3 linked regions of the Xenopus tropicalis genome follow. The protein of the gene in region 3 purifies or fractionates together with the protein of the main gene of each other region. This does not show direct contact. Links are inferred from orthologs where the notes say so. Each region holds a gene or a part of one and is shown on either strand. Other genes may lie near its edges.

Evidence for each region.
Region 1: the proteins of mob1a (region 3) and pja2 purify together in Homo sapiens (affinity purification with western blotting; 3 studies listed by BioGRID). This does not show direct contact. The link is inferred for Xenopus tropicalis from reciprocal best matches to the Homo sapiens genes MOB1A and PJA2.
Region 2: the proteins of mob1a (region 3) and lats2 purify together in Homo sapiens (affinity purification with western blotting; 9 studies listed by BioGRID and IntAct, with this or other methods). This does not show direct contact. The link is inferred for Xenopus tropicalis from reciprocal best matches to the Homo sapiens genes MOB1A and LATS2.

Annotation. Positions count from the first base shown.
Region 1 is NC_030677.2:173,952,999-173,956,652, reverse strand, and holds part of pja2 (E3 ubiquitin-protein ligase Praja-2), read right to left. Parts: intron 2,925-3,654; coding exon 2,748-2,924; intron 633-2,747; coding exon 447-632; intron 1-446.
Region 2 is NC_030678.2:157,816,530-157,820,183, reverse strand, and holds part of lats2 (serine/threonine-protein kinase LATS2), read right to left. Parts: intron 2,784-3,654; coding exon 2,292-2,783; 3' UTR 1-2,291. UniProt on the Homo sapiens protein: Negative regulator of YAP1 in the Hippo signaling pathway that plays a pivotal role in organ size control and tumor suppression by restricting proliferation and promoting apoptosis.
Region 3 is NC_030679.2:121,264,765-121,268,944, forward strand, and holds the start of mob1a (MOB kinase activator 1A), read right to left. Parts: upstream 2,844-4,180; 5' UTR 2,839-2,843; coding exon 2,825-2,838; intron 2,215-2,824; coding exon 2,048-2,214; intron 1-2,047. UniProt on the Homo sapiens protein: Activator of LATS1/2 in the Hippo signaling pathway which plays a pivotal role in organ size control and tumor suppression by restricting proliferation and promoting apoptosis.

The DNA.
Region 1 (3,654 bases), on a different chromosome or scaffold from region 3:
GGAGGAGTCATGGCAGGACTTGGGTGTTTTACTATTCAGTGCTATTTTCATATATACCACTAGTTGGGACATGGGACATTTTAGCAATTCAGACGTCAGTAAGCTGTTATCTTACTACTTTCCCACTGTTCTGATGATCGGCTGCGGGGTGGGGAGTTGGGGGGGCAGTGAAGCAGTAAAGAGAATTTATTAGCGCACAAATCACATGGCTGAGGGCACCTGAAAAACTAAGAACAAGTCTAGCCCCATGTCAAAATTTCAAAATTAAATAGAAACAAAAATCTGTTTGCTCTTTGGAAAAATGGATTTCAATGCAGGATTCTGCTGGAGGAGTGATACTAAATCATGCATTTTGTAAAAAATATGTTTTCCTATCCAGAATCAATTTAAACAATGACAATCTTTAAGATTTTCTACAAACAGAGAGCATATAATTCTAGGCTTACCTCCATTCAACTTCCAGGTCTTCACTGATACTTGAATCATCCTCCAAATTGTTATTGCCATCTAACATGAAAAATCCAGGATGCACAAACTGGTTACTTATTTCATTTTCTTCATCGGTGCTGCTTTCAATATCCTCATGGTACTGCAACCAAGGGATTTCTCCATCTTCCAAGGAAATTTGTTCCCTAAAAAGGGCATTGGATACTTTTAATAACAAAGAATGGTCACAAAAATCAACTTTGAACAAAAAAAAAAACCCTTAGGGCTCGTAGACACGGAAACAATAGTCATGTGTGTCAGAGGTGCTTTAATTTCTCTTGAATGAACTGTAAATGCACAAATACTGTGCAATACAAAGCCAACAGCTTTAAAATATGCCATTGCCAATACTCACTGGGACTTATTTATAAAAACTGGGCATATTTGGCCAGTAACCCCACAGCAGCCAATAGGATTTTTGCTTTCACTGTTCTACCTGATTATTTTCATTGCAGAGTATTCTAAAGCTGGCCATTTACACACTAATATAATTGTACTAAACAACATTTTGTGTGATTTTTGGACTGTGGTGTTTAATCGTTGTTCAGCTGACTGGACAGGTTAGAAAATTTTGTTCATTTAACGATAAAATCTCTGCATGTATTGTGTATCTGACGATATCCTTGGGTGACCTACAATGCATTTCTGGACCGTCACTTTCATGCGATTATTATCTGCTAATTATTTTATGTTCAGAACATCCACTTATTTGTTATTTTTAGTACTTTAGTCTACAATTTTAATCTGAATGTTAGTTTTAGATTGTTGCATGTAAACATACAAACGTTCTTCGGAAGAAGACTTAAATCTGAGTAAGGCCAGCTTCAGAAAGAAATTGTATGCTCTATGGACTGTGACTGACTCCTCTTGTTTTTGTTCCAGGATCTCAAGTCAGTCCAAGTATTGACTTTTCTGGACCATGGACCCTGTATGGACTATATTTCTGATAATCTTTGTAACTGAATTAAAAGGTGCAATAAAAGACTGATATTCAGCGGGAAGGCAAAATATGTAAACAATCTGGTGTACAGTACAGACATTTCACTATGTCTACTGTAACTTTAGATCGATTGTGTCACTTATGCGATATAGAGTCACAATGTTTTGTATTTGTAAACTATTTTTAGTTCACTATTTTTAAAGCAGACTTGTCTAAATTCCTAAAATGACAAATCCCCAGAGGCCATGACAAAAAAATATTACTCTGTAACCAGAAAAACTGTGCCCTTCGTTATAATAGCATTTGGGAAGAATTGTGCTTTAAAATGTTAACTTAAAGAAATTCACTTTATAAAAACATTTGTCATAAATTGCAATACTCATGTGAAAAATACAAGAGCTATTGGACAAGAGCTTTTCAAACCTAAAACCTATAAAAAAACCCCCACCTAAATGCAAAAGTATAATGATCAAATAATGTTTTAAATGTAATGCTTTGAAACAGGTCTTGTGGTAAGACAAAATATTGCTTTACAAATTGAATAATGTCTAAAGAAGCCTACAATCTGCCGTGCCCAGCACCAACAGCTAAATATGGAGATGGATGTCTGATAGGAATATGATTGGGTCCTATTATCACCTTTCACAGTGCGGTTAAAACATTTAACTATGTTGACATATTAAGCAATCATGTGCATCAAAAGCACTTTACTAGCAACAGATGCTATGAAAATGATAATTCCTCTATAGCAGTGTTTTATTTTGGTAAAGGGAACATTAAGACAATGTTTAACAAATCCTGTAGCAAAGGCAATATCCATATTCTTACTGAGACATAAAGAAGTAGAAGGAAGCTATTCTGCTGAAAGAATGTCAAATCCTCCTTACAACACAAATAGATTTCATACAACATGCTGTATGAGGGATGATTAGCAGTCAAATACTCCATTGTTATAAATTTCAATGTTTTAAATATTTTTCTTGCACCTGCATTTCACACCTTAAGCAAACCATTAAAAAAACACAGTTTTATGATGGTGTTGGCTAATACCATCCCTATACTATTAAATAAGATTTTTTTTCATGTTCATGGTAGTGTCCATTTATACCATCTAATTAACACAAAAATCAACTTCAACAGTTTAAAAAAGGTTAATATGTTTTAGAGCAGTATCCTGGTTGTGTGTAGTGATTATAACACTAATGGTTTTTCCAGGATTGCTCTAACATTGCTGTTTGGCTTTCAGAAAAATCATTATCCATATAAAAACGATTACAACATTACATAAATATTCATTAAAAAAAAAATGAAGAATACATACTCTACTTGAAAACAAAAGTCAGAATTTTCTTCTTCCAGACTACTGCTGTTACTAAGAACTTCGTGTTCATCTTTTCCAGGCAGTGTTTCCCAGCTATCATCACTTGACGAATGGTCTTTGTCCGAAGAAAAATATGAAGGCAAGCATGTAGACCATTCTCCATCACTGCAGACAGAGCTGACATGAAGTAAAATTAGCTTTTTTTAGTTCATTACTTTACTAGCAGTGAAACGATAGCTTTATTTTTCCAGTATTTGCTTTTATATATTAATTAGTATTGATTTTGGAATTATAGGCACATTATCCTTAACAGCTTTGGGCCGTGAAAACAACAAGAGGTCAAAACAGTCCTCTATTCCAGTAACCAATTAGAATAATGAAAGCAAGCGTCTGATTAGTTGCTGTTGGATATTGAACTGGTTTATAGTTTGACCATTTATTCTTCCTTCAGGAGTAAAGCATAATTAGAAACTTCTACTTCAAAAGTAAGTGCTTTGTAAACCCAAGCAGTCACACAACCCCATTAAATGGTAATTTGTCCTTCACAAAATAGCTTCCTTGACTGTGTGGTTTCCAATAAAAAAATACACTATAACCCATATTAAACCAAAATGATTCCACTGCTTCATTCTAAAGCGGATATAGAATTTAGTATGCTAGCATAAAGTATATCTCTTTGGTCTGTCACAAACAGAAACTGTTTTTTTGCAACAACTTTGCTCAACTATAATCTGAAAAAGGAACCAAATGGTATACACAATGTAATGCCTTCTTCTATGAACAGATGTCTGTGGCAAAGATGTAAGCAATAAGTAATCAATGTCACACAACAGCTTGCTTTCTACAGGAAACACCATGAATGCTTCACAGAATAACTACACTTAGGGGCTGATTTACTAAGACACGA
Region 2 (3,654 bases), on a different chromosome or scaffold from region 3:
GCCCAAGAATCAACCCCCTGTGACATTAGTCTCCATTCTTCAATTACCTTTTAGCATGTTATAGTTAATGAATTATTTGCCTCTCTCATTGGCCTGTTTCCAGCTTGCAATTTAATATGCTGTTGTGGGTTGCTGACTCTGGAAGCCAAAAACCTATTGCTGTATGAGGCTACACTTGTGTTACCTTTTATTACTTATGGTTCTATTTAGTCCCTCTTCTATTCATCTCATTCCAACCACTGACTGGTTCCTATGGTAAAGTGGACCCTAGCAGCTAGGTTCCACACTGGAAAGCTGCTGGACATAAATCCAAACAATAAAAACTGAAGACCAATTGCAAACTGACTCTTTTAGTATCTGCCTACATTAAAGTTAATATATAAGGCCAACAATCCCAAAAAAGCTGGATCTTATTAAAGGGTACTAAACTGTAGTAGATGTTTAATCAGTATCACTTTTTTAAGCTTTTTCCCAGATATTTATTGTTTTGTGATTTTTTTTTTTTACCTTATTTCCTACTGCAATAGGTCACAGACTGACTTTTTGGTCTAACGATATTGTCCAGCACGGATGGTTTGGAATGCCCAGTCAGTGTGAGCTAGGCTAATGCCAGACGGGACAGATTCTTGGCCTGCGGATAAAGACAAGTCGAGAACCAAGCTCTATGCTGGCATCAGCCTGTCCCTGCACCCGGAGCCATTGCAACAGCCCAGGGCGGGCCACATGGAGCAGATTTCAGTAGCGAAATGCATATTTGCACATTTCAGTGCTAAAATCTGCTCCAGCCTTGCTAGACATACATCTCGAGCTTGTTTGCTGTTGTGTGAGGACTGTTAGCACATCAATGTGGTTCTCATATAATGGGATTTTCAGACCTGCCCAATAAATATCTTTTTTTTTTTTTTTTTTTTACCGGATATTGATTGGGCATGCGAAAAAAGGACCAATAAGCTGCTCAGTTTGGAGGGGCCGAACCAACAGCAATTAACAACTCAAAAAATAAAACCTATTTGTCATACATTAAACATTCACTAAAGTTTGTGTATATGTTTATAGCCAGGCCAGTTTCCCCTTAATAACAATGACCTGCTAGCTTAATCTACAGTACAAGGAAGAGCCATACATTTTTCAGGAATCCATTTTGTTCTTTACATGTTGCCCTTGCCCTGTATATTGCTTTGCATAATAATAACTAGTAGTTCTGAAGGGCTTAAGCCTAAAAGGCCCATATGTTCATCTTCTACTGTAGAATTAAGTGCTGATGTGAATATCAAATGTTCAGTTGACGAGGATGTTTGTTTCAAAGTTACATTTCCATGTAGATGGTAGAAATATGGGTATTAGAAAAGTGCTTTCTATTATTATTAGGTTATTGCTGAGAAAAAGCACTATTAGAGCGAGTTATCTCAACCAACATGGAATAAAATCTGGAAGAGTCTGGAAAACCACAGATCCAAAGATCCAGTTCATGGCGAAAGCTTTTCTTGCTGCCCAACTCATAGCCTGTAGAAAAACCACTTTGCTGGTTGGAAATGCATCTCTCTTAATATTCCCAGCACAGATAATAAGGATCTGGCTGGAGAGAGTCAATGATAGATCCCAAATACACCATTACCTGTCCTGGTGCAGGGGGTTAAGTCCATTGAGACTGAGGAACATCCTCACAACCTGAAGGAGTAAAAGAGCAACGTGCAGAACATGCAAGCACGGGAAGGGGACAGTATTTACATGCCCCTGATAACAACGTGACATGCTTGTCTCTCTGTAGCTGTGCAGCTATCTGTTACGCGGTACTGTAGTGCTTTTGTGTGACCAGCTAAGAATTCCCAGAATTCCACTCCACCCAAAGGAAGCGAGTCCATCTCCACCACCCAAACGCAGACTGATTTGCTTTGGTTTATCAGTGAGGAATTCAGATGTCCTGTCTTTGTGCATATTTGACAATGAGTTTACATTTCTAATGATGAGGGAGTGTTCATCTGTACCTGCGCGCACACACGTGCACCACAGGAAACATACTCCACCGAACACTTTATTCTTTAATACTTCTGCAGTACTTATGATATTGCACCACTAAAACTGACATATGTTAACCCCTTCTGCTATGAGAAGGCTTTTGAGCCTTGTTATCAAAGAGCATCTTCAAATGAGCCCTAGAAACACACAGGCAAGGCATGAATTTAAGGCACCAGTAATGGTCATGGCTAAAATATAATATTCCACCGGAAGAGCCAAGCACCTTCAACAACGTGAGGGTAATTCAGTGTGAGCATAATATCCATTCTGAGCTCTCACACATACACAGGCTGGCAGCCTTCTGACTCCCTGGAGGCATTTTTATCTTCCTCCTCGGTTTCCTCGCACGACGAGGTCTCTAATTTGGAAGGCTTGGGATACCGAAAGGGGTAGCCATGATCATCGAAGAACCGTCGGAAAGTGAACTCATAAAAGGCATGCTCGGTGTGTTTGTTTCCTGAACTCATAAGAGTGTCCCAGGTCACAGTGCTGTCTCCACTGTCATTGCATGGATTTTCCTCCTCCACCGGGTCAAAATTAGAGGTATCCATTGGGTGACTGATTTTCGGAACATAAGGTGCTGGTTGATGTCTAATATCAGAAGAAAAATCCATTGAGATAAAGAAGGGGTGGGCCTTAATTTCATCTGGCCCATTTCTTCCAAGTCTGTCTTCAGCCCCGCAGCACAACGCTGTGATCAGATTGGTCGCCTCGGGACTCAGGTTGATCTGGGAAGGAATGTGAAGGGTGTTCTCCCAATGTATGACCTGGAAAAGTAAACGGATTGCGGTTAGAGCAAGAAACAAAGAAGCAGTAAAGGGTGTACAAAAAAAAGGTACATTTTAAAATCATATACACTGTATATGTCAAGGCTGTTTTTTTTATTTATTTTTTTTGGAGAGTGATATTACAGCTATAGAAAACTGCAGGAAAACAGCTATTAATTATATAAAAGGCAACTGGCTCCACTGTAAATGGTCATGTAAACAGTAATGTTAAAACTACCCTTTTTATATTATATCATTATATATTGGGGCCTAATTAGTTTTGAGTGGATAATTAATATGCTCGATGGGAAAACTTAAACATCACCGTACTAAGGCTGTAAATCTGAGGTCGGAGGATATATGGTGGACTTTTATAATTAGGCACTTAAAAAGAATCTTAGCCCATGATGTAAGCAAAAAACCCCTGCACAGACCCCTCTGCCCAACCAGACTCTCCCTACCTGAGCAGAAGAGGCAGAAAGGTGTATCTGGGTTGGCAGCTGCCATGTCTGGTTGCATTGTGTCCTGCCCCTGGCTCCCAGGCACTGATCACTTAACAGGAGCATGTGTAGTAGAAGCCAATCTGTTGCTTCTGGTGTGCATGCTCCTGGTCCTAGATCACTGCCACAGACATGGACAGGAAGCAACGCAGTCATTTCCTGGTACACGCAGTGCTTTGTGTGTTAAAAATGGCAAAATACCTGCCTGTTGAGTGTACAAGAGGTTTACTTGTTCATTATGTTCATTTACGCAGCACTGTTGCAAAAATTATCATTCCATTCCCATCAGTCCCTGCCTCAGAGGCAGAGGTCCTTGTCACAGTCACACACTATGGGGCACGGGGAGAACATATACAAGAGCAGAGGATGCC
Region 3 (4,180 bases):
AAAAAAAGAGAGGTCAAATAGCATTTATGGCTCTCTATTACAAATTTTACAAAATATTAGTAATGTAGAATGCCTAAGGCAACTGGCAAGCAAAAGCTAATTGTGATACTGGCTAACTTTTAATTATATTTTTGCGGATAAACGTAATCTATATTTTCTTTACAACACATCCAATACCCCTATTTACACATATTGGACTTGCACACAAAATACATTAAGCAGAAAAAAATAGCAAAAAATACACAATACCATCAAAGCTAACAGTCACAACAGTAGAGGCAATATAATAAGGCAGTGCAATCTAAAAGCAGCACCTAAGAGTTTAATACATAACAGTAAAATGCAATGCAGGCAAACAAGTGAAGAAGGAAGCAGACACCCTGACCAGAAAAATGTGGATTACCATGAAGTTCTGGCGTAAAAACTTTATCAAGGGGAATTCACAACCAATACAGCTAAGCTGTTTCTGTGTAAAGCAACACATAAGGCCAACAGCATATGGGAAAACAACTAGACTGTCTGCCTAGTATTTTACTAGCTATAAACGATCCAGACAATCGCCCAATGTGCCATAGGCCTAACTGTATTACAGATATTAAAATATTTTATTTTACCAGCACCAGAATATGGTGTTTACCGTTTCCTCAATATGTAATACAGGTATGGGATTCATTATCCGGAAACCCCGTTATCCAGAAAGTTGCAAATTACAGAAAGGCCATCTCCCATAGACTCCATTATAAGAAAACAATTCAAATTTTTTAAAAATGATTTCCTTTTTCTCTGCAATAATAAAACAGTACCTTGTACTTGAGCCCAACTAAGATATATTGCATCCTTATTGCAGCCAAAACAATCCTATTGGGTTTAAATGATTTTTTAGTAGACTAAGATGTGGTGATCCAAATTACAGAAAGATCCCTTATCCGGAAAGCCCCGGGTCCAGAGCATTCAGGATAACAGGTCCTATACCTGTACACACAAAGTAGTTTATCTGTGGCAATAAGTCTGGAAACATACAGTTCACCATTTCAAGACTACAATTGTCTAACAAGATGTACTGTTGGGTGATTAATAATTAACACAATGTCTTAACACCACTAGAGCTTATAAACTAACTTCCCTACCCAAATTACACAAGCAATATTGTCAATTTCATTAGAAACCAAAAACATATAAATTATACAAATAACAGATTAAAAAAAGAATACTAAAAGGTGGGTGTTACATCGTATGTATGTTTATACAACAGGGAGTTAAAATAATAATAAAGACAAAGTATAACAATAAATACAAGGTACAGTTTCAATAAGTTAAGAATTACAGAGACAAGAGGATGGAGGTCCCTGCTCCATAGAGCTTACAATCTAAATCTACGTTATGAAAGCCCCTTTAAAACTCCCTTATACTTCTACAAATCATGTTACTATAAATGGGCAAAAAGACTCCTTATGGCTGGTGATGGACTCTTGGTGTGAGTTAAGACTAAGGCATGCAACCACAGTTCAGTTCCATGGCATGCTACATAATGTCAGTAACTAGCAAATCTATCAACAGAAAACCACTCACTTGCTGACCCTCTTACCTACCCTTACTGATCCGCTTGGGGCCATGACAGTACCAAATAAAACTAGTTGTTAAACTGGTAATAGGAATATTTGCACAGGTTTGTTTAACATGCATGAAAGCTCTTGTCCAAACATTGTCTCCTCTAAAATAATGTCCTCAGGGAAAAAAAAAAAAAAGTCAACTAAACATTTGAAGAAAAAAATCTCCTTGTAACATTATAAACCTTGTACATCTTACGCATGGTGACTACACAATAACCTCTTTATTAACCCCTTTACTCGGTGCCAAGCTGGAAACACTAATTTTTCCCTCAATTTAGTAAGGTAATCTTTGTGAACCCACAATGAAATCAACTTCGTAGATCAAAAATTGCCCAATATAAAAAAAAAATATATACATATACACAGCCTGCGGCATCAGCGGGGGGTCATTTATGAAGACTGGGCAAAGAGAAGCTGCCATTACTCTCTACACTTACTATTAACTGCAATCCACTCATTGAGATCCTCCCCCTCGGGCAGCATTACCGCTTGCCTAAGGTTGCCGCTCCCGAGCGTAGCCTCCGCATGCTTCAGCAGCTCGTACTGGTGCGACCCCTCTGGGATGTTCTTCTTTGGTTTAAAGGTTTTTGAGGATCGACTGCTGCTGGGGAGGAAAGTTTAGAAAGCGTCATCCTTTCCAGATATTTATTTAGACATCTGTAAATATCCAGTTTAAACCCTGTCTACTAACAGCACCCTGCCTGGCCTGGGGTTGGAAACAGGACTTGTCAGTTCAAGTACAGGAGTCCCAAACAGCCCAACCAATAGTGACTGTCTGTGCAGCAGCAGCTGGCCACAATCCAGAGCTTGCCAGCCCATGCTTGCCCTTACATCGCAGCTACACTGTCACCCCCATTGCTCTATGCATATAGCCAGCTGATGTGTGCAACTCCTGTGTGCAACTGCCAGGCTCCCTGCGTGAGGAGCTCCCATTACAAAGGGGCTGACGTCTACAAAGTGCAGCAGAATGTCAGCCCTGTGTAAATAACAACAAATACACCCCCAACATTCCCCTCTTCCGCTTTGTAAGAGTTGTAGCACAACAGCGGGAGTCAATCCGGTAGGATACAATAAAAAGTAAGTTGAAGCGATGTCTTTTCCGCTTCGCTATAAACTCCCTTCCCACGGAGTCGGGGCCTCCCCTTACTTCCTTCCCCCCCTACTTATCCATTCCTCGTCTTCCCTCTCGCAATTTTAGCCCCCCCAAGACTCACAAGAGGAAGCTCATGTTGGCCGGGGGATGGAGACACAAATCTCCAGCCCGGGCAGCAGCAGCGGCTTCTCAATATAAGCACGGAGAACACAGGCACGAAACTCTCCCACTCCACTTCCGGCCGAGCGCGCCCACACGCTGGCTCTCGCGAGATCTCAGGGAGCGAGTATTTCCCCAGAAGCCACGCCCACTGATTTCATAGGCTGGGCCGAGACTGACATTCAGTGGGAAGTTTAGCTGGATATGTGACGCTAATGTTCTCCAAGCTGCGCCCCTATGGGTTTAGGGGACTCTGTGTCATTTTGAGTGGTCTGACAAGCTTTTTATCTTTCCCTGATACCTCTTTCTTATAATTAACAGGGAACAGTCATGAAAAATGTTTTTATCATCTTGAAAATATAAAGTCTAGGCAAACATTTTGACAATTTATAGTTTTTAAAAATGTTGCAGCGTTACAAAGTTATTGAATTATTGAAAAGCAAAATGCACGGAGCAACTCCAAACATCGCTGCATAAAATCACCGTTTATTGTAATCACTTAAGATGCAGCTTTTGAGAAAGTGGCGTGACGCCACGAAACGCGCCAAGCGTATAATCCCCATTTTTGGGACACTCATATGTATTTTAAGTGATTACAATAAACGGTGATTTTATGCAGCGATGTTTGGAGTTGCTCCGTGTATTTTGCTTTTCGATGGATCCTTGCTGTCTGGGTGTCAGCAACACGTCTGAGCATGAACAGAGCTGACCGGTAAGTGCTCACGTGATATGTTTTTGCATTGAATTATTGAAGCAGCCTTCATTGCCCCCGCTGCTTGTGATTACTCGGCGGGGGCTATCGCTTCACAAACCCCCCCCCCCAGCGAACTGCGCATGCTCGGCAAAAACGGGGGGGCGGGGGCTTGGGGGTGCATTAGCTCAGGTGTAGGGGAGAGGGGGCCAACCGGGTTGCCTAGGGCGCCCGGTCGGCTCGGCCCGCCCCTGATTTTCAGCAAGGAAAAATCACTTGCCAAAAATCGCGCCATACGCCTCCTACCTGTGCCTGCTCCTGAATGAATTAAATACGCTCAGGTGCAGGCACATGTAGCCAATATCCGCCAAAAATCTCAAGACTTCATATCTTTGGCGGATCATTCATTCAGGTGCAGGCACAGGAAGGAGGCGTATGGCGCTATTTTCAGGTTGCCAAAGATATAAGCCAAACGCCACGTCTGGCATTGGCTTTTGGCAGAGAGGCCAGAAATCTTAACGAGCGTCACCTGCACTTGTTTCTTGCTTTTAATTAAATAAATCGTTTTTGGCAGAGAGCCCTGAAAGGTAAAAAGCCCCACCTGCACTGAGATACAATTGTAACTAA